3 linked regions of the Ovis aries genome follow. The protein of the gene in region 3 interacts with the protein of the main gene of each other region in a pairwise test. Links are inferred from orthologs where the notes say so. Each region holds a gene or a part of one and is shown on either strand. Other genes may lie near its edges. The genes, in order: PPP1R3C, PPP1R3D and EPM2A.

Region 1 (9,962 bases), on a different chromosome or scaffold from region 3:
GCAGTCAACACAGATGGGGACAGTTGCAACAGCCCAGGTCACTGCCTCTAGACCCCAGCCCCAATGGTCAGGAGGTCGAAATTCTCACTAATGAGACTGGGACCATGGGAATACCTTCAGGCGGATCCAATTCCTGGTCCAAACTAACCTTGCTCAGTTAAACAAAACAGGAGAATCTCAGTTGATGGTTTCTTATTTAACTAACTGGGACTTTGAGAAGGAAAACATTCTCAGATCTTATATCAAACACTTTTATTTTTAAAGTGAGAAGTTCACAGAGGATAGCTACAGGAGAGTGAAATATTTAGAGTAGAAAAATTGTGGGTGCTAGCCAAACCTCAAATACTGTCACAGCAGAGTTATTCCAATAACTTTTCCAGCATGGCATATCACACGTGTTAAAATTAACTGCATTCTCAGAATACCTTTCAACGGATGTGCGTGATGATAGAAGTGAACATTCAGAGGCTCCTGTTTTGAAGATCTTACAGAATGGATTTATGCACAGTCCAAAACAAAGTATATTACAACACACCCAAAACAATTCACATCCATTTAAAAAAAAATGTTGACTTTCAAGAAATTGGTAGGAAGACTTAAAATAACAAGAAGAATATAGGCAAGAAATGGCTACTTTTATGTGCAAGGTACTGGATTCTTGAATTGAGAATCAGTGTCAGTCTTCACTTCCAATATCACATTGATAAAGTATGGCAGAAAAACGAATCACCTTCAATATGAAGGATGTGAGTTGCCCACACTGACAACACTCTTGAAGATACAACAGTGTCGCAAGAGGAATGCCAGCAAACAGAGGGGACCTTCTGATGAGGTCAAACACTCATGAGTTATCAGATGACCCTTCAGATACTTGGGTTAAGCAACTACAACATTCTGGTTTAATCAAGGCACTTGCAGCGAGTGATCCTTGACATGACATAGAGTTCCTACCAGTTTCTGGCCAATGATGAGGGCATGGTTTTTTTTTGGTTAGGCAGCATCTACACTGAGAACCCAGGCATAATACCTGGGCCACAGGTAAGGTCACTTATCCCACTAGGACTGCAAAGCCAGATTTGCTTAAGGTTTCCCCAGATCATGATTTTTGATGAGTCACGTTTGAACAAAAAGGCTTCATGTAAAAAATCTGATTCTCCAGAGTTATAATTCACCTTTCCCCAATAACCACCCAATACCCCTAAAGTTTGTTTGGGTTCTTCTCCACGAGAATGCCTAGAATGGATCTTTTTCTCCCCCCTACAAATTACTTCCCCAGGAGAAACCTGTAAAACCAACTTAAAAAAACAAAATAACCTTCATTTTCTCACCAACGGTTAAGTATCAGACCTCCTGCTCCTACTCTGACCTGAGCTGCAGAGCCCTTTGTGTATACTTTTCAGACATTCCTCATACCATTAACACAGCTTTCCATCACCATCCACTGTCCTTCCTCAAACCTTTCCTTGCCCAAGATGAAAGCCAGTGCATTGAGAGGGAAGGAGAAAAGGGTATAGACAGAATATTACTTTTACAAAAATAGGGTTCCAGGCTTTAACTTGATCCTCCACAGCAACACTGGGCACTGTCATCCATACAAACCCCTACACTAAATTCTCAAGGGGCTATCTTTTTTTTGTAGCCAGGTCTCAAAAGCTCCAACCTAAACCTACTGAAGGAAAGTAGCAACGCCTTCCTAAGATTGAGCAACACAGACCTAGAATTACATGGGGAATAAGGTCAAGACTGGTCACCAGGTTGCTTCATTCATCGGTAAGAGGCCAAGTTCTCCATCCTCCCCCAGCTCTGCCATTCTGGGAAGAGCCCACTGGCCAGCCTTGGACTGCCAAAGACTGTCGACTCCAGCTCGGCCTTGGCAGGTGGTGCCTGGTGGAAGGCACAGTCCTGGGCTGCCATCTGTGTCTGCACCCCATCGGGTTTCCACTGTGCATGGACGATTCTGTAATTCTGACCCTCGTTGTTGTCCCAGAAGACCTGCCCGTTAGCATGGTAGGCGACACAGAACTCAATTTTCTCCTTTGTGGGGATGACAGAGGGTAGGTCAATGGCAAACGAGAAGGTGTCACTCTCCGAGCCACCGTACACATTTTTCATGTAGGCACAGTCCACGTCGTTGTAGCTCTGCCAGGAGTCAAAAGTGATCCGGATCTGAACCTTCTTCTCAAAGCTCATGTTCTTCACCTTCACAGTCCCCGTCACTGTTCGCTCCTGCAAAGAGCAGTTCTCCAGGCAGACAGAGTTCTTCTGGAAGTGGTTCCGAAAACTTAAGTAGTCAGCTGAAGGCTGAGGGAAATCCAGAATCAGGTTCTTCTCCTCGTGGAGCTTTAAGCCTGAGGAGATATCATTCAGGTCCAAGAGGTCAAACTGGAGATCCCACATGGGCTCCTCGGGAAGGTCTGAGAAGACATGGATGGCGGTGAGGGAGAGGCCCTTAGAGTCCGCAAACACCACCCGCTTCTTGGCTTGGTTGTGTGAAGGCTTCCAGCCGTCCTGAGCTCTGGCTTCCTGTTTTATGTTGAGACACGGCTTTAGGGGCTTTAATTTGTTCACAAAATTTCTTCGTTGGAAGTCATCATAAGGGCTCAGGAAGCTCTTCAGAGGTGGGGAATGAGCCAAGCAGAGCCTCACAGCGACATCCACGGGCATGACTGAACTTGTCAGAGGCCGTGGATCTAAGACCTGGATCATTCTAGAATACAGAAAGAAGAGGGGTTATCATCTGCACCTAGAATGCACTTCCCCTGGTCCCAAGTAGGTCTGTACTATTTTTGTTGGCTATTACAGCCAGCACAGCGCTCTCACATGAAGTAAAGGAATGCAGGATTAGGTGATAAAAGCTGCATCTTACGTTTGGCTCTGCCCTTGACAGGCTATAGGCCACGGGTTAAAACACTTGGTGTCCCAGTTTCTCCATCTGAGAAATAAAAGATTTGGATGGGATCAACTCTAATACAGCTCTAAAACCATTTGCTCTGTTCTGGAGCACCAGTTCTCAAACCTGTCTGTTTTCAGGCAGGTTCCTTACTGTTTGAGCCACCACGGAAGCCCCCACCATGGCCTAGTGGGTTGGATTTCTTTTTTTTCAATGCAGAATCCTTGGACTTAGAGCCTCTAATGCAGAACCCCTGGGGATGGAGACAAGAATGTATATATGTTCTTAAAGCTTCCCAGGTAAGCCAATGACCAGACAGGTTCTAGAATCAAAGTTCCAAACTGCACTCCCTCAACTGCTTTGATGATTTTGCTATTGAATTAATTATACTTCTCTGGAACCATAATCCATTTAAAAAGAAAGAATAAAAACAGCAAAGGGTTTTGAGAGCCAAAGACTAGAAAGAGTAAATTAGAGGATTCTCTCTGCACTTTCATTACCATGCTCTTCCCCATTTTACACAAATAACCTACTGAAGTGCAAGGCAGCCATTTATGAATTTAAAAATCTTTACATAATCTGTATTTCACCCAAAAAGACATCCATGCCAACTCCACATTTAAGTGGGAAAATCTGATGATCTGAAAATTATTGTCATTATTTAGTCACTCAGTCATGTCAGACTCTTTTGTGACCCCATGGACTATAGCCCACCAGGCTCCTCTGTCCATGGGATTTTCCAGGCAAGAATACTGGAGTGGTTTGTCATTTCCTTCTCCAGGGAATCTTCACAACCCTGGGATTGAACCCGTGTCTCCTGCATTGCAGGCAGATTCTTTACCGCTGAGTCACTGGGAAAGCCAAACCTGAAAATAGGATAGTTTCAATAAATGTGTTTTATATATATATATATATACACACACACAACACATATATGAACTTATAAATGTTGAAAAGTCTAATAGGAAGCACAACAAAAAGTTAACAATTATCTCCGGGTGATAGGTGATCTATTTTTGCCTTTGTACTTTTTTGGTATTTTCAAATGTTCTGGCAATGGATATTTATAACTAGAAAGATAATAAAGCTATTTAAAATTTAGACATAACTATGCCCAGAAATATTAAACCATGAAGTGTCCATCAAGAAAGGTATTTTTTCTGGCCTTTAGCCCTGAGTATACATTGCCAAACTTATGGACATTTTTCCCCTACCCTAGCCTTCAGATAAGAAGTGTGTGTATACTGTATGTGACATTTCTCGTTCCGGCTTTAGTAACTGTCTTCCCAGCAGCTCTAAGCACATAGCCAAATGGTCATTATCATAAGATGGGTAATAAAAGAATATTCTGAGAATTCACTTTATTAGCCCTAGGATTTTTCTGGGAGACCTACAAACTTAGAACAAACAAATGAGAGAGAAAGCTATATTTATTGGTCTAATAATAGTTAACAGGCGGAAATTTTAGAGACGTCTTCTGCTAAGTTATGTCTAAAGAAGCTATTTAAGTAGTTTTGTGGGTGGTTTTTTTGTTTGGGGGTTTGCCCTGTATTTTCACATTTTGCACTTATCTAAAGACAGTTTCAGGATACGGCGATTTCCCTGGAATGTTAAGTCTGGCCGAAGAGTTTAAAAATAATCATTTGCTCAAACTCCCGAGACTGGCTTTGCTATGGCAAACCGTCAGAAGAAGGAAAGAGGACCAAGGAAAGTGAACATCGTCCATCGTTAAGTTTTTCCCAAAGCTAAACTACACAGCCAGCAATCTGAGTGCTCTTCCCACGAGTCCTTGAGACCTCTGTGCAGGACCAAGAGATACGGTTAGAATCCACGAGGGAATCAGAACTAAAGCTGACTCACGTTTCTGGTTTAAGATGCCGTTTACCGAAATCAGCTCTGCCTAAGATGCTCAGAGCAAATCTTCACACCTCCAAGGCCTCCCCAGCGCCAGATTCTTCAGCAGCCTGTCAACCCGCCCTCCCCTGGGGTCTCCGGGGCGGGGATGACAGCAGGAAAACGCATCCCAGCCTCCCGACAGCTGCGCGCTCCCTGAGCTCCGGGTCGGAGAATCTGCAGGGAACCTACCTGGTGCAGCTCATCAGGCAGAGGAGCGGCGGCACTCCGCGGTTTGCGAGAGTTCGCACGCGTCTCCCGGGAGTCCCCGAGTGGCCGCAGCTCCGGCAGATCGCGGGTGCGGCCCCCGGGAGGCCGCTTAACTGCGGGGGACCACGTGAGCCGACTGCCACGGCCAATCGCTGGGCCGCGGGCTCGACGGCGCGACCAACCAGCGCTCAGCTGGGGCGCGAGCCCTTGCCGGGACGTGACTGCCGTGGTGCAGGGCTCGCCGGGCGCTGGGGGCGCTCTGGGACCCCGGGCCAGCTGGCCGGGGTAGAGTAACGCGAACCCCGGGCGAGGAGGCGTGGAGGCAACCGCGTAGCACAAGTAGCCGGCGCAGGCCAGGAGGGAAAGCAGCAAACCTCCTCCCGCGCGGAGCGCCAACACAGCGGGGCTGCAGGGAGGGAGGTGTCTCACTCGCGAGGCTTCTGTATACAGTTATCTGAGGGCAGGACACTGTGGCTCGTTCCGGGGACGCGTGGAGGGGTGGCGGTGGGGGAAGGGGATGTGTGTGTGTGCTTATATTTATAGTTTTGAAATGTTTATCTTGTTCATTGCTTGGTGCATTGGCTTATCTTCTCCCTTTCCTTGCCCTGAGCAATCAGAAGTTGACTGCATATTTTGGGGTTAGGGTGAACCCGGAAATGCACCACACAGTACATTCTTCTCTAACCAATATTGTTAATAAACCGTGTTAGTCCGTATTAAATGCTTCAGCCCTGTCCGACTCTTTAAGATCCCATGGACTGTGGCCCGCCAGGTTCCTCTGTCCTTGGGATTTCCCAGGGAAGAATACTGGAGTGGGTTGCCATGCCCTTCTCCAGGGGATCTTCCTGATCCAGAGATTGATCCGGGTCTCCTGCTTTGCAGGCAGATTCTTTACCATCTGAGCCACCGGCAGTCTGTGTTAGCCCTATTATAAGACAATGAGGCAGCATTTCATTAAAAGGTACTTTGTATTTCAATCTAGTCTTCAGCTTTTCTCCCTGGAAGAGAAAACTAAAGCCAGAAATGAAAAGGCCTCTTTTGCTCATGTGGTGGGTCAGCCCGCAGAGCCAGTGGTCAACCCAAATCCCTCATCTGGGTTCTGACGTCCTCTGGCAGCGATGTGAAAACCAAAATGTTAAACTATCACACTGTAAGTTTCATGACTCTCCCAGGCCGGTTATTCTCATCGAGGTTTTGTAATTTTGTTTAGTTTGGGGAGTTTTTAGACCATCATCAGTTACAACCATAAAATTAAATTTCTAAGTCGAGTAGGAATTGTTTGTATAAAGTCCATGTCCTTGCTCTGCTCTCAATTTAGTTATCCAGCAGTCCATAAAAATGTACAGAATATACAATGTAAAATGTACAAAAATCCCTATGTCTTTAAAATCACCGTTCAGCAGCAGCAGAAGTGTTAAAATGGTGTGGTTAAAGAAAAAGTGAGTTATCACTGGGGCAGTTATTTATCACTTGGGCTTGATTTTTTAAAGAAAACATCCAACTAAAAGCAGATCTTCTAGTTTCTCAGAACAACCAAAACTAGCTGAAGGGGCACTGTTTGGGTTTGACACTTTCAAATCTAGACAAGTTTGAGCTTCAACTCCCTCATCAGTAAAATGGAGATAGTGAAATTGTTCTGAGGATTAAATGAAACTGTACAGATGAGAAAACTCAGCAAAGTGCTTGGTATGTGTTCAACAACACTATGTTGAGCTAAAGAGTGGATATTACCAATTACAGTTACAGAGAAACATGAAATAAGAAAAATAAATTGTGATCCCATTTTAGGGGTAAGACATGCATATATGGAAAAGAGAATATACTCGACCGAAACGTTAACAGTGCTTAATTTGGGGCAATAGAGATATTATGAATAATTAAAATTTTATTTCTCATTCTGTGGGCTTCCCTGGTGGCTCAGATGATGAAGAAGCCGCCTGCTGTGTGGGAGACCTGGGTTCAATCCCTGCATTGGGAAGATACCCTGGAGAAGGGAATGGCTACCCACTTCAGTGTTCTGGCCTGGAGAATTCCATGCACTATACAGTCCGTGGGGTCATAAAGAGTTGGACATGACTGAAGACACTAATACTAACAAACTGAGCAACTTTCACTTTTCACTTTTTTGTCATTTTGCTTCTCTGTATTTTTTATTTTTTCTACAGTGAAGAAAACCTGGACTTTTTCTGTAATTGAGAAATCATCATTAAATGACTTAAGACTTTCAGATTCAGCTAACATATATACCTTACCTACTAGGTACTAGGAACCATGTTGGAAGCTTTGACATGCTTACACCATTTACTCATAGTCCTTTTGAGTTTGGGCTTCTTTCCATTCAAACTGCTTTCTCTTCTGCCCCCTGGTGCTGACTGATGCCATAAAAGCCACTATTCTGAGCTTAAAATAAAAATCAGGGATACAGGGCTGTCTCCATTGACATGAATCCGCCACAGGTGTACATGTGTTCCCCATCCTGAACCCCCCTTCCACCTCCCTCCCCATCCCATCCCTCTGGGTCATCCCAGTGCACCAGTCCCAAGCCATGTCAATGTATGGCAAAACCAGTACAATATTGTAAAGTAATTAGCCTCTAATTAAAATAAATAAATTTATATTTTTTAAAATAAGGGCTGTCTCCAAAGAAGAGTCAACACTCAACTTCTAAACTGGATGGTCCAGGACTCCCATTTCTCTTCCCTCCCCTCACCTCAGATTTACTGAGATGTAAGTGATATATAACATTATGTAGGTTTAGAGTATACAAAGTATTAATCTGATGTATTGCAAAATGATCACCACCACAGCACTAGCTAAAACCTCCATCAAGTCACATAATTACCATTTCTTCTTTATGGTAAGAACATTTGAGCCGCTTTCAAGTGTAGAATAATACAGTATTATTAACCATGTGGTAAATTAGATTCCTAGAAGTTTATACTCTTTGACCATCTCCCCATTTTCCCTATACCCTCAACCCCTGGTAACCACCATTTGACTCTGTTTCTATGAGGTTTGCTTTTTTATAGTCCATATGTATATGAGATCATATGTGAATATTTGTCTTTCTGTGTCTGACTTATCTCAACTAGCAGAATCAGGTCCCTCATTTCTATCTCCCTCCAGGGTTTTACTGCTCTTCATTGTGATGAGAGGGACTGGAATGGAATCAGCATTCTTAGTCATGAGTTGCATCAATAAAGACACAGTAGATTAGGAATTGTGGGAAGTTTTATAGTTACTTGTAATTTTTCTCCAACTGCAGTTTAACAGCATCCAAACATTGCTTTGTCCTACCAGTCTAAACAATGAATCTATTGATGAGGGCTTCTTGATCTGTGCAGTGCTTCTAGCCATGCCAGGGGTTACAAGGATTCATAAGTCACAGCCCCTTGACCTTGAGAATGCTACAATCTTTATTATAGAAAACCAGATTTAAACTCATTAAATACCCAGGGAACAATTTAAGGTCCTACAAAGCAAGGGGCTGATGATATGTGACATACACAGTGTCTCTTCCACCATCTGTCCAACACATTACCAGCTACGGGAAACAGGGACAGGGAGTCCCAGCCAGTCAACTCATTTTCTCCAAACTTGCCCCTTTTTTCAGTGCCCAGTGAAGAAAGTTCTTGAATATACTTTACAGTTATTAATATTAAGATGCTAGTACTCAGTAGTAACAGGATGAACCTCGTAACTGATCTTCAAGCCCTGCCCTGTAGAGGCAGTGAGGTTGAGAACTGCTCATTTTCATGAAAAGAACTGAGATTTCCATTTTGAAGAGAAGAGAGAAGCCAGTTCACGTGACTCTATGAATAGTAAGCTCTCTCTTACACTGACTCCTGTCTTCTTTAGCCACGTGGGCTGGGCACACCAATAGCAAGTGAAGGAGTATAATTTAAAAAAAGAAAAACAGATACTTATGGAAAGTTTACTTTGGGTCAGGGACTGCTTTAAGCACTTTACAAATAAATATTAACTCGTGTAATATTTATAAGAATCCTAGGAAGTTGAAACCATGTTGATTATCCATATTTCAAGATGAGGAAACTGAGGAGACCTGGAGAGTTTAAGTAACTTGTCCGAGATCGTGTAGCTAGTAGACATGGGGCAAGACCAGGTTTCAAAACCCTCTGGAGTCCACACTCCAAGTGTGAGTTGCTCTGAAAAAAGACAAGCACCACACTGGTAACCACCAAAACCAAAAAGATGGTCTGTAGAAGGCCAGAGAGATTCAGAAAAAGGAGGGCTCCCTGGGGAATATCTGTGGAATTTGTAAGGAGGAAGTGAGGCTTGGGAAATGGGAAGATTAACTAGACTGGAGTATCATCTTTGGGGCATTTAGACGAGAATGCAGCTGAATGGCTCAATCAATGAGAGAGTGAATGCCATCACAGTTGAAATGGTACCAGCAGCTCATCATTCTACTCAAAGCACATATTCCCATAGGGTAAGAGAAGGAACCAAAGTATTGCTGAGTAGACTATAGTAGTAGTAGTAGCGTTAGTCACTCAGTCATATCCAACTCATTAGGGCCCCATGGACTGTAAGCCACCAGGCTCCTCCATCCATGGAATTCTCCAGGCAAGAATACTGAAGTGCATTGCCATTCTCTTCTCCACATGGTGAGTAGACTATACTATTGGCCATTCTGTTTGCACTGAAAGGATATTCAAGCATTATTTTCACTTCCTGGATTTTTTTTTTTTAAGTTTAAAAAAATCTCTACTTTTAGAACGTCCCAGTAGGAGAACAATCTGGGTGCTACGGTGAATGCACAATTGCTGCTACCAAAAGTAAGCGGTTAAAGAAAGTGCAAGACATTACCTGAGACCTGCGGGTGAGATGAAGACGGAGCGGGGAGGGGGAAACGAAAAAGGATGACACACTTGACCTTTCCAACAATCTTTTGGGAAGAAAGACAGAGAGGTAAAAAGACCGGTAACCATACCAAGTTGTCTGAGTG
Region 2 (10,002 bases), on a different chromosome or scaffold from region 3:
CGAGGCCCGCACCGCCCACCCGACGCCCCGCCGGAGGCCGCCCCCACCCCAAGCCTTGGCTGCGCCACCGCGACCGTTTCTTCAACGGCTCCGCCTCAACGGTTAGGGGGCCGCTTGCTAGTTCCGCCGCCCCCGGAGGCCCAGCGGACGCCGCAACTCTCCCCTAACGCGCCCCACCGTCAAGGAAGCCCTCCCGGGAACCCAGCTCAATCTGTCGGCTGGAAGAGGCCTCCGCGAGGATCTCCTAGATTCGCTGCAGCCCGGCGTCGAGTCCCCGAACCTCCGTTGTCGCCTCTCCGCCTCAGGCGGCCAAGGGAGGGCGGGAAGCGCCCGTCCAATCGGCTTCGCGTGCGGTTCGGCACCACGTCCAATCAGCGCTGCCGCCGGACAGGTCCCGCCCCTCGCACCCGCGCAGGCACCTCCTAAGGCCGGAAAGGGAGGGCCAAGGTAGGCGCGGCTCGGAGCTTCAGGTAAGTGGGAGGCCGCGCGCGCGCAGGCCAGACCCCGACCCCTGACCCCGCTCGCCCAGCGGCCTCGCCACGAGAGGAGGCGCCAGCGTCCTTCCTCTGCTCTGTCTTCCCTCCCGCGGTGTGGACGCGCTGGAGGGGTCGACTGGGCCTGCCCTGCTCGCAGGACGTGAACCTGAAGGGCCAGAAGCGCCAGCGGCCCTAGGAGATCCCCGGGCTCCCCACAGCCACCCGGGAAGGCTGGACGGGACCGCAGAGACACTAGGGCCCTAGACGAACCTGCGGGGACGCGTGGTTAGAGTTCCCTGAAAGAGGCCCACGTTGCGGGCCAGCAGAGGGCAGCAGAACCACTCCTGATCAGCCTCCGCTGACCACCGCACTCCGCCCCGCTCCCCAGGCCACGCCCACCTCGCCCCGGCCCTGTCTCCAGCCCAGGCCCTGCTCAGGTTTCCTAGAAGCAGGTTCTGCGAATGAGTGCTCTCACTAACTTGAATCCCAGACCCCTCGGGGACGGGGACAGAGCCCTGAGGCCGTCTTGGCTTGGCACTGAGCGAATGAAGTGTTTCCCCAGGGATTTTAGAATGTTTCAATTTTAAAGTATCAGTTTAAATGATAAAAGCAATGGATGATTGTGGTGTAAATTAGGGAATTCAAAATTACAGCAGACAAGCAGGTCAAAAATTAAAAACAATGACTCCTCACCTTGCCACTTTTTAGTAGAAGAAAAACGTTTAGAGCCCTTTTTATTGTTCAGAAAATCCAAGGATTATGTCGTAAATGTCACTACCACATGCAAGAAAATATCATTGATTTTATTTAATTTCATTTGACTTGTTTTTAAATAGGTCTTTATGTTAGATGGAAAACCTTATCAGTCATAATCCGAATGGACATTCAATTAAATTTAACAAACTCTTCTCACATGGCAGAGAGAAGGTGGGCTTTGCAGTGGGTTTGAATGCTAACCTTGCTACTTACCAGCGGTGGAGCTTTAGGTGAATTACTTAAATCTCTCTGAGCTTCATTCTTTTCAGCTGAGAAATGGGGCTATTATCTACCAGATAGATCCGGGAATTGGTGATGGACAGGGAGGCCTGATTCATGGGGTCGGAAAGAGTCTGACAGGACTCAGTGGCTGAAGTGAACTGATCTAACAGTGCAGTTTTCAAGATTAAGTGACATCAAATACAGCACCTAGCATTGTAGGCCAGCAAATAAGAGAGAACATAAGTTGGTTTCCTTTCCCTGTGTTCAAAGCTCTGTAATTGAGTGACAGTCACCATGATGTGTGTGTGGAGGGGGCGGGGGGTGAAGATACACAGTAGTTATTCCTACATGGGCTTCAATAAGCAATAAGATGAAGTATGTGTTTTCCTAGAGCTTTCTTCCTATGTAATACTGACCTGGCATAAAAGGATGCATCTCAGTTTCTCAAAGACACACACGACTGCTGCTGAAGCTCAGGTGACATCATAAAATGCATTTATTTATATTGGCAAGATACTAAACATGACAGCATTCTAGGAAGGATAAGACATGTGAAATGTCTTAATCAACACATTTCTAAAGCCTTGTTTCACACTAATCAGGCCACAAGAAAAACACACTTCAACCAACAACTTGTGCACATATACTTTAATAGTGAGGCTTAGGTGAAGTTATCTTAAATGGCTTGTATTAAAATATGTTTGCAGAGATAACCCAACAACTGCACAGGTCACACAAAACTTGAATATCTAGGCTATGTCACTGTGTTTTCAGGCCTGCAAATCTTAAGCTGTCCCAAAGCTGCTTTATTAACTAGGCAGGTATATTTAAGCTTTAAAGTTTTCAAAGGCACAGGGAGGTTCTCTTAATATTGAAGATACAACATTTACTACATATTCTGTGACCAGATCTTTTTTGGAAAATGATCTTTACACAGATTATAAGATTCTCCACATGCCTTTACATAGCAATATATGTCAGCTCCTGCTCATATGTGAACACCCTGGACAACTGCTTTGCACACTGGGCTAGGATCCAGGGCATAGTGGCCAAGGCCCTCATGGGTTTACTGACCTAACTGGACAGTTTGTCAAACAGCAGGAAATGCGACCAGGCTTCTTTGCCTCTTGCATGTCAATGGAGTACACAGTGCTAACAGCCAGTGATTGTTCAATTCAGTCACAATGTTTTAAATCAGAGTTCCATATTCTTAGACCAGAAGGTACCAAAGAAAGCCATCCTTGTTGCTGGAATTTTTAAAAACACTGAAGTTGCCATTATAAGAAAAGAAATTGGTTAAAAGGCAAAATGCATCCTTTGCATACTTACTTGACAAACGGTAACAAGCATTCAAATATTTAGAGTTAATTCACTGGTGACAGCTATCACAAGATTTATCGAACTGGCTTCAGCTCTTGGAAACCAGCTTCCCAAGTTGGAGACCACCTCCACCTTAGCTGGGTTTTCACACCTCTGTGCTAGCACCTGCTGTCAGACCACCACTCAGCACCAAGAGAAATAGCCCCTCGCTGAGAGTTTTAAGTTGTTGTGGCACTCTGCAGGAGACAATGGCCTTGACTTCTTGGTTGGAAAGTTAAAAAAAAAAAAGCATTTAACATTTTAAAATTGGAAAACAAGTCCAGACAAGGCTACAAAGTTATCTATCTGAAGGCACAAAGATTAAAGTTGGCAGGTAGTTGATAAAACCAGGCATATACAAATACAGCTTAAAACAACTAAAATGTATAAATATTTGTGTATTCTCCCTCCAGTCTGGTTGTTGCTGAAAATACCTGCTAGTTCCACTTGATAATGTGACTTCTGAATGATGATTGCTGGAATCCTGGACACTTAAGACATCAAGAGTCACCATAATCGTCAAAAAGGTAATTGTAAAGGGCATTGTTGCCCAAATTCCACAGTTTCCTGAAAACTGAAATAACTTAAGGCGGAATTTCTTTAAATACTTAGGTAGCTCAAACCTAAACAGAGTGGCCTGATAAAGTGCAGATACACAATTATCAAACATGTAAAATACATAAAGTGCAAAGAAACACTGCAGAAGGGGCTGTTTTGCTAACTAAAAGTTCTAAATGTTTTCCTTCTTGGCAGTTGCTGATGGAGGAGACACACAGCCTAATGGGGCAGCCTGAACTCCCAGGAAGGATTGTATGATGACGGAAGAGGCATCAATTTCTTGCCTATTAATAGTTTCCCGGCTGTTAGAAGCCTACAGACATTGGCATGCAAATGTGACTTCAGGTTTTCCTTGTCCCAGGGCAGGAAAGCTTCAAGGGACCATGATGGGGGTCACAGCATATACATTCTGTTTACAGTGGGCACAAACAGACAAGAATGAACTTTTTTTTTTTTTTAAGCTTATTAAGAATGTTCCCAAGAAGGCACTGGCTAAGGGTAAAATGTTTCAACATCGCAGTGATGATAAATAAGAGCTATATTCACAGAGACGCGATCACACATGCAAAAGCCACAGGCTTTCCCAGTTGCAGGGCGCAGGCCTTTCCAAAACCACCTGCCTGGGCCTTCTTCATAGGGCCAACTCACTCGTGCATCTACTCACCCAGCACCCCACCCAGCACATGACAGCCCGGCCTTCTGGCATCGGAGGCCACGGTTTAGACCAAGTGACCCAGACATTTCAAGTAAAAGCATAGGCGTGCCACAGCGAGCACACCTTGCAGCTGCGGGAATCGAGGTCCGACAGCCCCGGCTTGGGGGTGGAGTGTGAGGCAGGGCCACGTCCCAGACGCACGAGGCCCGCCAGGAAGCTCAGATAAAGTGGATCCAGCTCTCCTCGCACTCCCCGCGCGGCATGTGCAGTGCGTGGTTGCGGCACGTGAGACTGTAGTCGCGGCCGTCGTTGTTGTCCCAGTGCTCGGCTCCGGCCACACGGTAGCGCAGCGCGAAGTGCACGCGGGAGCCCAGCTCCAGCAGGAAGGGCGGCACCGGGAAGCCGAAGGCGAAGACGTCCTCGGAGCCCCCGGAGCCTGCCGGCCCGCGCCACCGCGCTGCCACCTCGTGCGCGCTGCGCCAGTCCGAGAAGGTGTAGCGCACTGCCACCTGCTTCTCGAAGGCCACGTTGCGCACGCGCACCGTGCCGCTGATACCCAGGTCCGAGCAGGTGACACGCTCCAGGCACACGAGCTGGCGCCCCAGGCGCTCGCCAAAGTCCGGAGCCTCGACGGGCGGCGGGAAGTCGGGCACCAGGCACTGCAGAGTGAACTCCAGGTCCTGGCTGCTGCAGCACAGGTCCGAGTTGATGGCGAGTCGCGACAGCACGTGCAGCGGCACGGATGGGTCTTCGCCCGCATTGAACACCTTGACCTGCGCCAGCTCCAGGCCCAGCGCGTCAGCGAAGCGCACGCGGTGCTGCCGGCTGCAGCCGGGTCGGCACGCAGCACCCGGAGCGCCCGCGCCCTTCTGGCGGCGCTCGGGCGAGCTGGGCAGCGAGCGCGCCCGCCGCAGGATGATGGGCCGTAGGCTGGGGTCGCAGCCGGACGCCGCGGGCGGCGGCGGCGGCGCGCTGCCCGGACTCCCCGGGGGCCGGCAGGGCCGCGGCTCCCGGGCCGCGCCGCCGTCCAGGTCAGAGAGGCAGCTGAGGCTCCGCGGGGCGGGCTTCCGGAACCCAACGGTGGCGGGGAGGACCGCCGAGCCCGAGCCTCTGGACATGGCCCGGCCGACCGTCGAGAGATGCGGAGGCGGAACCGAAGGGCGGCCTCCCTCCCGACCCTGAGTCCGCTCCTCCGGTGTCCCGAGACGTGCTCAGCGACCCTGGGGAGGGTCCGCTGGAACCGCCGCCTGCAGAGGACGCAGTAGGCCGGCTTCGCGCTCCCCTCGTCCGCCACCTGGTCCCTCGAGTCCTCCCCCTGGTTTTCCGCTTTGGGCAGGGGGGAAAAAAAAAAAGCTGGTTTCCAGGACGAACGCTTCCTCGCGCGGACGCTCCTCGAGGCCGCAGCGGAGCGCGGGGTGGCGGCGGCCTCGGGCTTCCTCCGGGTGCGGGGAAGGCGGTGTCCGCCCAGCTGCCCCGCCCAGCGGCCCCTTCCCGGCCGCGCTTTACTCACCCGGCCGCGACTTGTCGGAGCAACTTCCCGGCGAGCCTCCGCCCCGCCCCTCGTGACGCGGCCGGCGCGGACTCCCGCGGCCCAGCGCAGCCGTCTGCCTCCCGCCCTGCCCCGCGTCACGTGTCCTCCGCGGCCGCGAAACAGGTCTGGTCAGTGTCTGTCTGCGTCCGGCCGGCCAGCGCGCCGATCGGTCCCAGATCGGCGTCTGCTCGCGCGGAGGACCCGGAGCATGCACGCTGCGGTCACCGGATTTCTGGGCTAACGCGGGCGGGGGAGGGGCGCACCACTCGGCCTGCTCAGGAGCCGGTCCCCGGCTCATTTTAAGCCTCGAGGGTAGCCAGCTCTCTGGACGTTTGCGCTGCAACACGGACCCTAGGCCAGACCGTGGGAGCCTGGCTGCGTAGACGAGAAGCGTCCTGTCCCCGCATCACCCACAATGCTTTGCTGCGGGGACCGCTAGCCTTGTCCCTGGGGGTTGGGGAGGGGGCGGCGCTGCTGCTACTGCTGTCTCCAGAGAGGCTCCAAACCGGAGAGGAAGATATGAGAACAAGGGTTAAGACCCTGTGACAAATAATAAGGCTGCCTTTAAACAGTCTCTGGCGCTTGGGACACATTTTTGTAGGCAGAATCCAGACTTTTAGCTTTGTTCCCGAACCTTCAGGGAAACCAGAGCTTGCTTTCAGCATCCTTAGGGACCGTGCAGGCTGTCACCTCTTTGCTCTCAGTAACTTTGTCCAGAAAACAGCATAGCCCAGGGTGTAAAGCTTGCCAGGTGAAATGAAGTGGAGAAGATGGAGTGCACTTTCTAGAGAGTTCTAGAGTGTTCCTATACAATCTAGAGGGACAAGGCAGCAGGAAAACCAGACTAATGAAGGGGGTTGATGAAGAATGTTTTCTACATCTGAAACGAATCGAGCAGTTGATTATGGTCTCATTCATTGGTTGTAAGGGCCCGCATGTGGTTTTCCTTCTCATCATATGTACAGGGACCAAAATGGCATACCTGCTTATTTTGAAAAATAACAGAGCAGAGTTTTAGGAGGGAAATAAAAATGTATAATCCCAACTCTTCCATTTTTTCAGAGGCAGGGGATTTTATGGAAGAAAGAAGATTCACATTCAAATGGGGCACTTTTAGTAGACCACTCAAGAGCGGAGAAGCAGCCTTGGGTGGTACCAATCGACAAAATGTCACAGAGAGAGAACATTGCGTGATATGTATTACACTGATAAATTTTTCATGGACTGATGTGACAGTGAAGGCAGGAGGCCTGAAAGGGGGCCTTTCCAATAGAGTTCAAGCTCCATGAGAGTAGGATAGGTATCTAACCCTGCTGTTTTCTAGGCACTCTATTTGTCGAAGGAATGAATGAATGGACACAGGAACTTTGGAGTAACAGCCAAACTTAATTAGCCCCACAGAAGTCCTCAAAAAATTATTTCCAAGGAGATTTTGTGTGTATGTGCATGTGTGTGTATGTGCATTTGTGTGTGTGTGTGTGTGTGTGTGTATGGGGAGAGAGATGAAATCCATTTATAGTAGTGTGATCTTGTATCTAATACCCACTGTGAAAAACAAGCAAAATAGATTAAACCATAAATAGAAGGCAATATTCCCCCATTCAAACTTTTTATACAATTTGAATATTTAAGAACAAAAAAGTGAAAAGCAGCATGATAAGGGTGATAGGGTGTTTGCAGTTGGTACTTAGCGACACTGTTCTGTTGCTTCTAGTTCCGGTGGTCAGGCACCCTGCCCAAATATTAGAGGAGGAAAGAAGCCACTTCCCCTGCTGTCAGCATCTTCCAACAGATTGAGCAAGAATATTTCCAGCACTACAGAAAAGGTGATGTAAACTTAAGTAAAAATCTCATTTAGATTTGTTCTGGTTTTTCATGTTTCGTGTGTGTGTGTGTGTGTTTAGGGTGTTTATTAACTATATGTCTTTCTTTTTAGACAGTCTATCCAACCCTAAATGATGATCAGCCATGTGAATTTTTCAAGAAAGGGAATAGGGTGAATGAATCTTATCAGAAAACCAGGTAAATACTTTTTCATGTAATTACTTTATCTTGCAAAGGGAGCATGTTCTCCAGATTGATATGTGTGGCTGGGAGAAAAATATGTCTGTAGACAAAAGTATATACACCATATTTCTTGTCTGACAGAAATGGTTTTAAACATTACTAGTTGGTAAAAATTCTAGGAGGTCATAATTCTTGCACTGTTAGCAGAATCCACAATTTTGGCTAATCATCTTTCTATGTTTCCTTTTCTATAAAAAGGATACTAGTAATAACTTTTATGGATGCACATAGACAGCTAGAGGTAAAGGAAAGTTTTAACAATGTCGGTTATGAGTTCTAAATCATGGCAATTACTTTATCCATTTCTTCACTTTTTTCAACATTTATTGAGCACATGTTATGCTGCTGGCAATAATTTAACCTCCTCCATGTTTATTAAGAGGTGGCACATTTTCAAGTAATCGCTTATTGTGGTAGAGACCTGCGGCAAATGAACCTCTGAGGTTTCCACGAAGCATGTTTACCATCCCTTTTTTTTTTAAACCACACCAGACTGATGTTGCTGAGAAGTATTATTCATCTTGGTAAAGTACACTGTTGTTGGTAAATAAGTAGAAAAGAAAATATCTTCACCTCTGAGATGAGATGCTGCCTCAGAAATAAATTAGAGGATGAATCAGTTGCCGTGCTAGTAATGTGTACAGTATTCATGAGATCTGCCTCCCCACCACTCAAAGGGCAGTATTAACAAGGCCCTACTGCAGAGCATGGGGGAGCTGTGTTAAAAATTATCTTAGGATAAACCATAGTGGGAAAGAATATTTTTAAAAAAGAATGTATATGTATGTATAAGTGAATCACCTTGTTGTGCACCAAAAACTAACGCAACAGTGAAAATCAACTATACTTCAATTTTTTAAAATGATAAAATTTTAAAGAAAAAAGTAGCATTTAAGCCTTTTAAAAAATTTATATTGTTATAAGGCATTGTGTGATTTTATTCCTATCCCTCTAAACACTGCTTTCCCTAGTGTGTTTTCTATTTAAAGATATGCTGACACTTTGATAAGCTTTTGGCTTAAGGTGTAGGTTGTATATGCTACAGTTTTCCTTAGGATATTTGCTGGCTCAGAGTTACCACCAACCAGTGATTAAGTTCTGTAAAACGTGTATTTTACATCCAGTCTACATTTAATTTAAACTAGGTATATAAAAGAAAGGTGTGGATTTTATTTGTTTGTGTTATTAAACACTGCTCATCATTAACAACAGACTGAGTGTTCTACAAGAGATATTTTTCAAAGTACACACAATGGGTTTAAGATGGTAATATAAGTACTTTACGAAATGTTAGTGTTTTTCTTAGAAGCTAATATTTGATGCAAAATGAATCCATGCATTTACTTCTGGCACCTGCTTTATATTAATATTATTTCCTAAGTAGAGTATCAAGTGGAAAACTGTCCTATAATTTGCAAGTTTAGAGGCCTCACATTTTCTAGCCCGTTGTCATAGCTGAAGTGTGCAACTAGAGGCTTCTTTTGATTACTTTCTTAAAATCATCAGAAGGCCAGTTTGTGTCACATGGACTAAGAATTGCAATTTTATTTCTCGCAGCAGTATGAATGCAGGCCCATCTCGGACTAAAGTACAACATCCCAAGAATTCCAGAAAAAGACAGAGTAAACCCCAAGTCCCCCACATTTCTTCCCAGCTGAAAAGCAGTCTCAGAGGTGTCCCCCAACTGACTGAGGATAAGCTGAAGGAAAGCATTTGCCCAGAAGGAAACCCCGAAAGGAGTCCCCTCGGCCCCAGATATCGGGGGCTCTCAGGGAACAAGTTGTTTCTGGACTTTCAGTCCATGAAAATCATCAAAGAAGATGCCGAGGAGGAGGACAGTGCCAGTGACCTCTCTGATTCAGAAAGGATCGCCATCCCCCCATCCCCCCTCACGCCTCCTGATCTTCACCTTCGAGCGGAAGAGATTGACCCGGTTCACTTCGATCTGCACCCAGGGCAGGGCCCCACCTGGCCTGAATACTGTTACCCCGACTTCCTCCCGCCCCCGTGCAACTCCTGGGACCTGCGGGACATGGCCATGCTCCTGCACTCCGAGCGCAGGACAGAGGCTGTGCCCAAAACTGGGGGACTCCTAGGCAAGTACGTCGACAGGCTCGTCCAGCTCGAGTGGCTGCAGATCCAGACCATCCAGTGTGAGAAAGGCAAGGTGGCCAAAGGGAGGCCTCCCACTGCCCCTGGGACCTCGGGGGCCCTGAAGAGCCCTGGGAGAAGCAAGCTGATGCCCAGCACTCTGTCCAGGCCTCAGCAGGAAGGGCCTCTGAAGTCGGGCCTTTCACGAAAGAAAGACACGCTCTGCAAGGAAGTCCATCCATTCTGTTACACTGGTGAGGCTTTCCCCAGACCTCTTGATGTGCTGA
Region 3 (9,806 bases):
AGGTCAGCAATTGGACCCATATATGGTAAGCCATACAGCATCTCATATGGGAATAATCCAGTATTCTTATGAGGGGCAGTTCTGATTCTGAGAAGAGTAATTGGGAGGCACTTGGTCCAAGGAAATTTGGTTTCTAACATTAATTATTTGTTTTTCTTCATCCCTACCTACATATACCTTCTGGCTTCCCTTAATTTTTCTAAACTTATATATTTACAATTGTCTAATTTCTGTAATTTCTTAGAAATACCTGGCCAAGTATTAGTTATAAGATGCAATTTTAACATATTTTGGCCAAGAGGATCATCTAAATTCAATCCAGAGTATTTTCTTATTTGGTCTTTTAACCTACTCAGAAATTCAACCAGCCCTTCATCTTTTCCTTGCTTGATGTCAAAGCCCTTAGTAATATTTTGGGATTGGGGAACTGACTCTCTGATCCCTTTTATTATTAGGTCCCTGAGATCTCTCATATGACCCCTATGTTCAGGACTGTTATTATCCCATTGTGGCTTCTTGGTTAGGGAATTTCACTTCAGCTACTAAGGCATTTGGGCTAGCTGGGTATTTCCTTTTCGAATCAGCCGGCCATTGCTGCTCTCCGAATCACTGATCTTTCCTAGCGAGAAAACACAACACCTAAGATAGACATAAGTTCGGCCCATGTAAAAATCTGGGGGCCTAGAAGTTGATCCAGCTGGTCTGCAACCCCAGGTAGATCCTCTAGTAGGGCCTTCAGTTCTTTCTTCAATTCTTGAACCTTGGAGCTGGTAAGGGGGATGTCCACAAATCCAGTTCCCCTTCCTCCTAGGTGAACTTCTTGGAGAAGTAGACGGCCTGAGGTTTCTCTCCTTTTGAGGGGAAGGGTGAACTTTGAATGTCCACTTTACATTGTTTTATCTCCTTCCTCAGTGGAGGAAGGGAGGGGAACAGTGCTGGAGAGGGTGCTGAGGCCATGGTGGCCATCTTGGTTTCCCTCTCTTCTGTTCTTATTTCCTCTTCTACCTGAAGCGGTTCCTGGGCAGTTCAGGCTGTAGGCCTCCTGGGTTATAAGGATGAGGCTAACAGTTGAGAGGATCCCACTTCCTATTTTCCTTCTCCTTTCTTTACCTAGTTCCATCTTTAAGGGGAACAGAACCACTGGCCCCTTTCTCCAACAAAGAACATAATCTATTTCTTCCTGGGCAACTGGACTCCTGTCATTAACAAACTCTATAAGCAATTGGCAGATCCAACCTTCATCTAACCCAAACTTAGGCCAAAATACTGATGGTTTCAACATAGGTTCTTGAGTCCAAATGAAACAGAACCATCTGTTTTTTCCCTTTCCTCCTAGGATTATCTCCCCAATGTTGGAGCATGTGTCCTAGGGGACCATTTAGGCGAATCTAGTTATTGGCCTTTTCCCCCTTGGAATCCTTCTTGCCTAAGGAAGAATTCTTACGACCTTATCCCTATCATCTGATTCTTGGAGGGCATGGCAACCCACTCCAGTATTCTTGCCTGGAGAATTCCACAGACAGAGGAGCCTGGCAGGCTACAGTCCATACGTTGCAAAGTCGGACACGACTGAAGCGAGTTAGCACGCACACATCTCCTCTGATTGTGTGCACTCGACTGGAGGCTCATCACCATCCACCCCCCTTCTTTCTTCAGAGGTTTCTTGCACTCTTTTCCAGTAGCTTCAATTCCAGCTGTTTCCCTTGTAGGAGAAATATCCCCAGAAGAGGTGCTTCTTAGCTACTTGTAGGGGTGGGTAGTTCATTCGATCTCTCCAGGTCATGTGGATCCCCGACGAGCTCCCAAATTGTTGGAAATCTAATCCGACTCGTGCCGGGGAGAATGAGAAAAATACTCTATAACAGTCTGGCGGTCAATCACACTGAGCGGGAAGTCTGCTTCTCTCCGTGTTTATCCCTGACATGCTGTACCTTACTCTGGGAGATTGTGAGGGACCGGGAGTCCTGGCGTGCTGCAGTCCTTGGGACCCTGAAGACTCGCACAGGGCGACTGAACAACAACAATTCGGATTGATGGGAGCGTGGTAGCACAATCCAGCGCGATTGGCTAATTCAATTGAAGCAGCTGCCAAGTGAGGAGGCCGGGAACGAATGAAGCATCTGGGTGGGGGAGGGGCTTCCCTGGTGGCTCAGTTGGTAAAGAATCCGCTTGCGACGCTGGAGACCTACCAACATGTGCAGCTTGGTTACAGGAACTTTCCTAGTTGTTGTTCAGTCGCCCAGTCCTGTCCGACTCTCTGCGACCCCATGGATTGCAGCACGCCAGGCATTTCCATGCCTCATTATCTCTGGACGTTTGCCCAAGGTCATGTCCATCATCGGTCATGCCTCCTCCTCTGATGCCCTCTCCTCCTTCTGCTATCAATCTTTCCCAGCATGGGGGACTTTTCCAATGAGTTGTCTGTTCACTTCAGATGACCAAAATACCAGAGTTTCAGCTTCAGCATCAGTCCTTCCGGTGAATATTCAGTGTTGATCTCTCTCTTGACTGGTTTGATCTTCTTGCTGTCCAAGAGACTTTCAGGAGTCTCATCCAGCACCACAGTTTGAAGGCATTCTGCCTTTGGGTTCTGCCTTCATTATGGTCCAGGTCCAGCTCTTACAACCAAAAGTGACCACTGGGAAGACCACAGCCTTGACTAAACCGGCCTGTGTGGGCAGAATAATGTCTCTACTTTTCCACACACTGTTTGTCATAGCTTTCCTGGCAAGAAGCAATCCTATTCCGATTTCATGGCTACAGTTACCGTCCACACTGATTTCATGGTTACAGTCACAGCCTGCACTGAGTCTGGAGCCCAAGAAGAGGAACTCTGTCACTATTTCCAACCTTTTCCCTTCTATTTGCCATGCAGTACAGGAACTTAAGACTACAAACTGGCATGGGTTTCCTAGGAAGGAAGTTGATTATATTCTTTGATAGAAAAGACCACATTATTCCTATAATCACAGAAATAATTTCGAGTCTTTTGGAAAGGTCACTGGAAACTCTCGGAGTTTATGGGGAGTTTGCTTTCCTAGCCCGTTTTTTTTTTTTTTTTTTTGCTTTCCCCGGGTCCCCAGCCAACCGCGGAGCCGCTAGAAGAGGCCGCGGGTCGGGCGCAGCCTCCTTCTCCCGGCGCGACGGGTCGTGGCCGCAGCGAACCACCTCCCACGGCCAGAGGCCCCGGCCTGGATCAGGCTCGGGCTCCTGGGCCGCGTGATGCAGCCCAAAAAAGGTGCAGCCTCGCACGTGTCCCCGCCCGCGCCCGGGACCCAATCGCCGCGTCCGCCTAGCGCTCGGGCCGCGTCTCCCGGTCGCAGGGACACGGGGCACCCGGAGTCGCGCCGCCCGCCGCCGCCATGCGGTTCCGCTTCGGGGTGGTGGTGTCGCCCGCCGTGGCCGGGGCAGGGCCGGAGCTGCTTGTCGTGGGGTCCCGGCCCGAGCTGGGGCACTGGGAGCCGCGTGGGGCCGTGCGTCTGAGGCCGGCGGGCACGGCGGCGGGCGCGGGCGCGCTGGCGCTGCAGGAGCCGGGCCTGTGGCTCGGGGAGGTGGAGCTGGCGGAGGAGGCGGCGCAGGACGGGGCGGAGCCGGGCCGCGTGGACACGTTCTGGTACAAGTTCCTGAAGCGCGAGCCGGGAGGAGAGCTCTCCTGGGAAGGTACGGGGGCTGCTGTGCCGCCCTGCACCCCGGGGCCCCGGCCTCGGCCTGGGGCGGATTCCACTGTCCCCCCGCGGCTCCCCGGGCGCTCGGCCTGGATCTCGGGCTTTGCCCGCCGCCCGGACTGCCCGGGCGCCCCGGGCTGACCCTGGCCTGGCCGCCCAGCTGTCGCCACCAGCCGGGCGTCCCGCTCCCGACCGATTCCCCTGGTGGAGGCTGTGTTCCCGGTCTGCCGTCAGTTCGGTCTCTACCCCTCCGGCCTCTTTCCCACACACCCGGGACCTGGTGTCTTGCGCCTGCTGCCCAGACGCTCTGGCCTCCGCCCGCCTGGCCCCCCGCATCCTCCCTGAGGCGGGCTCCCTGGGCCCCGCCGCCCCTGGGTTTTGCTCCTCAACTCCGCCGTGACTGTTTTTGTGCCCTCATTTTCCTGCCCCAATCCACTAAAAAATGACCCACCCAGTAAAGCTAGCCTTTTCGCTAATCCTAAACGGCAGCATGCTGCTTAGTGTATTTTATTTTTCTTCTTTTCCATTTGAGACTGAACAAATGGCAAGACGTTGAGCGTTTTCTCTTTTCGAATTTTTTTTCAAAGCCCAGAATATGTGGCTTCCCTAGTGTCTCAGAAGGTAAAGAATCCTCCTGCAGTGCGGGAGAACTGGGTTCGATCCCTGGGTCGGGAAGATCCCCTGGAGGCTGCTGCTGCTGCTAAGTCGCTTCAGTCGTGTCCGGCTCTGTGCGACCCCATAGACGGCAGCCCACCAGGCTCCACCGTCCCTGGGATTCTCCAGGCAAGAACACCGGAGTGGGTTGCCATTTCCTTCTCAAATGCATGACAGTGAAAAGTGAAAGTGAAGTCGCTCAGTTGTGCCCCACTCTTGGCAACCCCATGGACTGCAGCAGCCTACCAAGCTCCACCGTCCATGGGATTTTCCAGGCAAGAGTACTGGAGTGGGGTGCCATTGCCTTCACCGTCCCCTGGAGGAGGGCATATCAACCCACTCAGGTATTCTTGCCTGGAGAATCCCATGGAGAGAGGAGCCTGGCTGGCTACAGCCCAGTTCAGTTCAGTTCAGTCGCTCAGTCGTGTCTGACTCTTTGCGACCCCATGAATCGCAGCAGGCCAGGCCTCCCTGTCCATCACCAACTCCTGGAGTTCACTCAGACCCAACTCCATCGAGTCCATGATGCTATCCAGTCATCTCATCCGCCGTCGTCCCCTTCTCCTCCTGCCCCCAATCCCTCCCAGCATCAGAGTTTTTTCCAATGAGTCAACTCTTCTCATGAGGTGGCCAAAGTAGAGTTTCAGCTTGAGCATCATTCCTTCCAAAGAAATCCCAGGGCTGATCTCCTTCAGAATGGACTGGTTGGATCTCCTTGCTGTCCAAGGAACTCTCAAGAGTCTTCTCCAACACCGCAGTTCAAAAGCATCAATTCTTCGGTGCTCAGCCTTCTTCACAGTCCAACTCTCACATCCATACATGACTACTGGAAAACCATAGCCTTGACCAGATGGACCTTAGTCGGCAAAGTAATATCTCTGCTTTTGAATATGCTATCTAGTTTGGTCATAACTTTTCTTCCAAGGAGTAAGTGTCTTTGAATTTCATGGCTACAGTCACCATCTGCAGTGATTTTGGAGCCCCCAAAAATAAAGTCTGACATTGTTTCCACTGTTTCTCCATCTATTTCCCATGAAGTGGTGGGACCAGATGCTATGATCTTCATTTTCTGAATGTTGAGCTTTAAGCCAACTTTTTCACTCTCCTCTTTCACTTTCATCAAGAGGCATGGGGTCACAAAGAGTCAGACACGACTGAGCAACTAAGCACAGCATAATTTGGCAGTGGAGATATGCTCTGATTTCTTAAAATACAAAACCAATACAAAAATACAAAACCATGTGGTGGCTGGGAAAAAAAAAAGCAAAAACATGTACAAAAGTAAAAACTTGTTTCCTCCACTCACCCTAAGCCCATGTATACCAATATATGAAGTGTGTACTTGTCTCACACACAAGTTGTATAATATCTTCACCTTCTTGCCTTTTCTTGCTCTGCAACATGTTGCAAAAACTTTTTAGTGTTACTCCATGTAGATGTATTTCATTTTCTAAATGGTAATGAAATATTCTGTATCTACCAGTGTGCATTTAGATTGCGTTCCATCTTCTGTTATAAACAGTAACAGCTTAATTGAAAGTCCTTGTATAAAGTTCTCTTTGAGCATTTGGAAATGTCTTTGTAGGGTAGATTCTGAGATGTGAAATTGTTAAGTCAAAGAGTAGCCGTGTTTTACATTTCAGTAGTAGTAGTAGTGTTAGTTGCTCAGTTGTGCCCAACTCTTTGCAACCCCATAGTCTGTAGCCTGCCAGTCTCCTCTGTCCATGGAATTTTTCAGGCAAGAATACTGGAGTGGGTTGTCATTCTCTTCTCCAGGGTATCTTCCCCATCCAGGAACCCAACCCAGGTCTCCTGCATTGTAGGCAGATTCTTTACCATCTGAGCCACCAGGGAATAAGGGTTGCCAAATTATTCTGGTTGCCAAATTATTCCCTGAAAAAGTGATGCCAAGTGTAGACTCCTGCCCGAGTTTGAATTTAGACAGCCCTTTCTTTAAATGAAACGTACAGAGTAGGGGACTGGAGCGTGTGTGGCTCAGTGGTTGTCTAAAGTGGATGAAAGGTCCCTGGGGAAGTTTATATGAAAAAGTGGGCCATTTAGCTCATGCTGCTGCTGCTAAGTGACTTCAGTCATGTCTGCCTCTGTGCGACCCCATAGATGGCAGCCCACTAGGCTCCTCTGACCCTGGGATTCTCCAGGCAAGAACACTGGAGTGGGTTGCCATTTCCTTCTCCAATGCATAACAGTGAAAAGTGAAAGTGAAGTTGCTCAGTTGTGCCCGACTCTTAGCAACCCCATGGACTGCAGCCTACCAGGCTCCTCTGTCCATAGGATTTTCCAGGCAAGAGTACTGGAGTGGCCATAGTGATGTGGAAACAAAGAATCAGCAAAGAGCATGAATGTTCTGTAATATGTTTATATGTTATCCTTGTTCCTCTTTTTGCACCCCACTGAGTTTCATAGTCTGGTACCATTTATTGTCCTTTTGTGTTACCATGACAATTGAAAGGTACTCTCATCGATTATGCCCTTCTTTATAGGATATTCTATTATTAGTAGTATTGCATAGTTATTTTCATAATAAAGTAATATCTGATAATTTTAATAAAAATTAAGATGGTTAAAAACAAAGATCTTCCCTTTTTCCAGTCCTCCTTTTCTATTTTTAGTTTTTCTGAATTCTCCCAAATTCAGATATTTTTCTGAATTTCTTAATGTATCAACTTGAATTTTTCTGTTTTTAGGTTTTTCTGAGAGTTGCCACATGAATTATATGTTACACTTTAAAATTAGACAATGTCTACTGACTGCTGCTATATACCTATAAAATTAATCATCTTACTTGCTGTGAAATATGAGAAATTTAGCTCAGGTTCATTATCTCTCCCCTCCCTGCTGATTTTCATATTATTATTTTACATTATACTCATGTAGTTTACTGTTGACTTTCTATTATGTAGAAATTTCTTCTTTTATGCTTCTTTTATATAGAAAGTTGTATGTGTGCATGCTAAGTCACTTCAGTCGTGTCTGACACTTTTCAGCCCTATAAACTGTGGCCTCCTCCCCAGGCTCCTCTGTCCATGAGATTCTGCAGGCAAGAATACTGGAGTAGGTTGCCTTGCCTTCCTCCAGGGGATCTTCCCTACCCAGGAATAGAACTTGTGTCTCTTATGTCTCCGGAATTGGCAGGCAGATTCTTTACCACCAGCGCCACCTGGGAAGCCCATGTATATATAAAAGATTAAGAAAAATAACACCTGCACACTTCTTTCCTTTTCTTTACTTCGGTTAATCATTGTTTCTATGTTAAGTTCTATATAATTTGTATTTTGTAGTATAATTGTTATTATGCCATTTTGTTTTAGGCTGATAGGTTGATTCAAAGAATTGTAAGTTAACAGACAGCAAAATGAGAAGCAGCATAGCCAGTATTTAAGAGCAGGGATTCTAGAGCCAGAATGTCTAGCTTCACCAACCAGTGTATGACCTTGGGCAAGTCACTTAACTTTACTGTGCTATTGTTAAAAGGACCAAACTAGCTAATAAATCTAAAGAGCTTAGGATAGGACATATAAGTGTTAAATAAGTGTTACTTGTTGTTATTTTTACTATTATGATTGGGAAATAATTATTGCAGAACCAAGTAGTGTAATTGCACTAATTTAAAAGTTTAGAAATATAATTCTGTAACATGAAACCTGTGTACTAGGAGGAAAAGTTCTCTTACACTATAAATCATGCTCAGATTTTATGTAAAATGATATCAGAGTTCATTTTACTTTATATTTGAGTGGCAATGTTTTTTTATACCTTGTTTTAAACTTTCTAGTTACTTTTTAAAAACAGGAACAGCATTTGATCCTCAAAATTTCCTAGTTTAAATGAACTATCTGATGAATGTAAATTCCTCACAGTTTGAAAACATTGTTCCTTGAAGATTTGGGGGGTTTGTTTTAATTTTCACCTATATTGATGTATGTCTTTCTGAGCATAGCTATCTGGGATTTATATTATTGTTGTTGCTTTTACTTGGATTCCTGCGTTAATTGCATTGTTTAGGATTCACATTTTCCACTTTCTTGAATATCTTAGTCCTTTCATTCAATCGTATCCTGAAATAATTTAAAGAAACAGTAACTGAGAGATAAACTACCTGAGTTCTTAAATGCCTGAAAAGGTCTTTATCTTGCTTTCACGTTTGATTAGTCATCTGGTACAGTATTCTAGTCTCAAAATAATGTTTGCTTTGAAGGCACTGCCTCAGTACCTTCTAGCACCAGTTGTAGTTGATAATTCTCACATCAAAGTAAGCCCATTTCTTTGTTGGCACTTTTTTTTTTTTCCTCTTTGAAGCTTAAAAACTTTTCCTTACATTATTTTACCAGGTTGTGTCTCAGTCTTTTGTTGTTGTTGTTCTTGCTGCTGCTGCTGCTAAGTTGCTTCAGTCGTGTCCGACTCTGTGCGACCCCATAGATGGCAGCCAACCAGGCTCCCCCGTCCCTGGGATTCTCCAGGCAAGAACATTGGAGTGGGTTGCCATTTCCTTCTCCAAAGCATGAAAGTGAAAAGTGAAGTCGCTCAGTCGTGTCTGACTCTTAGCGACCCCATGGACTGCAGCCCACCAGGCTCCTCCGTCCATGGGATTTTCCAGGCAAGAGTACTGGAGTGGGGTGCCATGACTTTACAATTGGTTGCCTTTTTCAATTCCAGGAATTATTTTTTTTACTAATGGAAACTTTCTATTGTTTCTATATTTCCCCCTCTCTGTTTTCTCTGTTCTTTGCTCTGACATGTATTACTCATATACTGTGCCTTCTGCTTTTATATGAGTATCTCTTAGCATTTCTCCTGTGTTTTCCATCTTTTGTTTGGATAGATTTCCCTGACTATGTTTCCAGATCACTGTTTTGTTTTTAATACTATCCATCCCATTAGTTACGTCTTATACTGCTACTGCTGCTGCAAGTCGCTTCAGTCGTGTCCGACTCTGTGGGACCCCACAGATGGCAGCCTACTAGGCTGCCCCGTCCCTGGGATTCTCCAGGCAAGAACACTGGAGTGGGTTGCCATTTCCTTCTCCAATGCATGACAGTGAAAAGTGAAAGTGAAGTCGCTCAGTCGTGCCCGACTCTTAGCGACCCCATGGACTGCAGCCTACCAGGCTCCTCTGTCCATGGGATTTTCCAGGCAAGAGAACTGACTTAAAATTTTTTTTTGACAGTCATTTTTAATCTCCCACATTTTTCTGTTATTCTCTGATTTCTTTTTTTTTTTCCCCAGAGCTGGTTTTTCTTCCGGTATGGATAATTTATATTTAAATCTTTCTGAGCATATAATAGAATTGATTGAATTTGTTTTTGTCTTGCATTAACTTTCTGTTCCTTTCCCCATAGCAATATTTTTTTTAATGCTAAAAGTTTTCCTCTAGTGTCTGGTAATCTTTAGGTGACCATTTATTTTTATGAATAAAGGTTATGTTGATTTGTAGAAGCAACTATGCTGGATCCCTGCTGAAGTTGCTTG

Evidence for each region.
Region 1: the proteins of EPM2A (region 3) and PPP1R3C interact in binary tests that used the Homo sapiens proteins (3 or more experiments, as listed by UniProt). The link is inferred for Ovis aries from reciprocal best matches to the Homo sapiens genes EPM2A and PPP1R3C.
Region 2: the proteins of EPM2A (region 3) and PPP1R3D interact in a two-hybrid assay, tested with the Homo sapiens proteins (2 studies listed by BioGRID, with this or other methods). The link is inferred for Ovis aries from reciprocal best matches to the Homo sapiens genes EPM2A and PPP1R3D.

What each region holds. Positions count from the first base shown.
Region 1 is NC_056075.1:13,010,985-13,020,946, forward strand, and holds PPP1R3C (protein phosphatase 1 regulatory subunit 3C), read right to left. Parts: upstream 5,078-9,962; 5' UTR 4,990-5,077; coding exon 4,976-4,989; intron 2,708-4,975; coding exon 1,765-2,707; 3' UTR 238-1,764; downstream 1-237.
Region 2 is NC_056066.1:56,295,783-56,305,784, reverse strand, and holds PPP1R3D (protein phosphatase 1 regulatory subunit 3D), read right to left. Parts: upstream 5,358-10,002; 5' UTR 5,145-5,357; coding exon 4,245-5,144; 3' UTR 1,928-4,244; downstream 1-1,927. Other genes in the region: protein FAM217B, read left to right, coding at 9,186-10,002. UniProt on the Homo sapiens protein: Seems to act as a glycogen-targeting subunit for PP1. PP1 is essential for cell division, and participates in the regulation of glycogen metabolism, muscle contractility and protein synthesis.
Region 3 is NC_056061.1:70,230,420-70,240,225, reverse strand, and holds the start of EPM2A (laforin), read left to right. Parts: upstream 1-3,306; 5' UTR 3,307-3,362; coding exon 3,363-3,660; intron 3,661-9,806. UniProt on the Homo sapiens protein: Plays an important role in preventing glycogen hyperphosphorylation and the formation of insoluble aggregates, via its activity as glycogen phosphatase, and by promoting the ubiquitination of proteins involved in glycogen metabolism via its interaction with the E3 ubiquitin ligase NHLRC1/malin.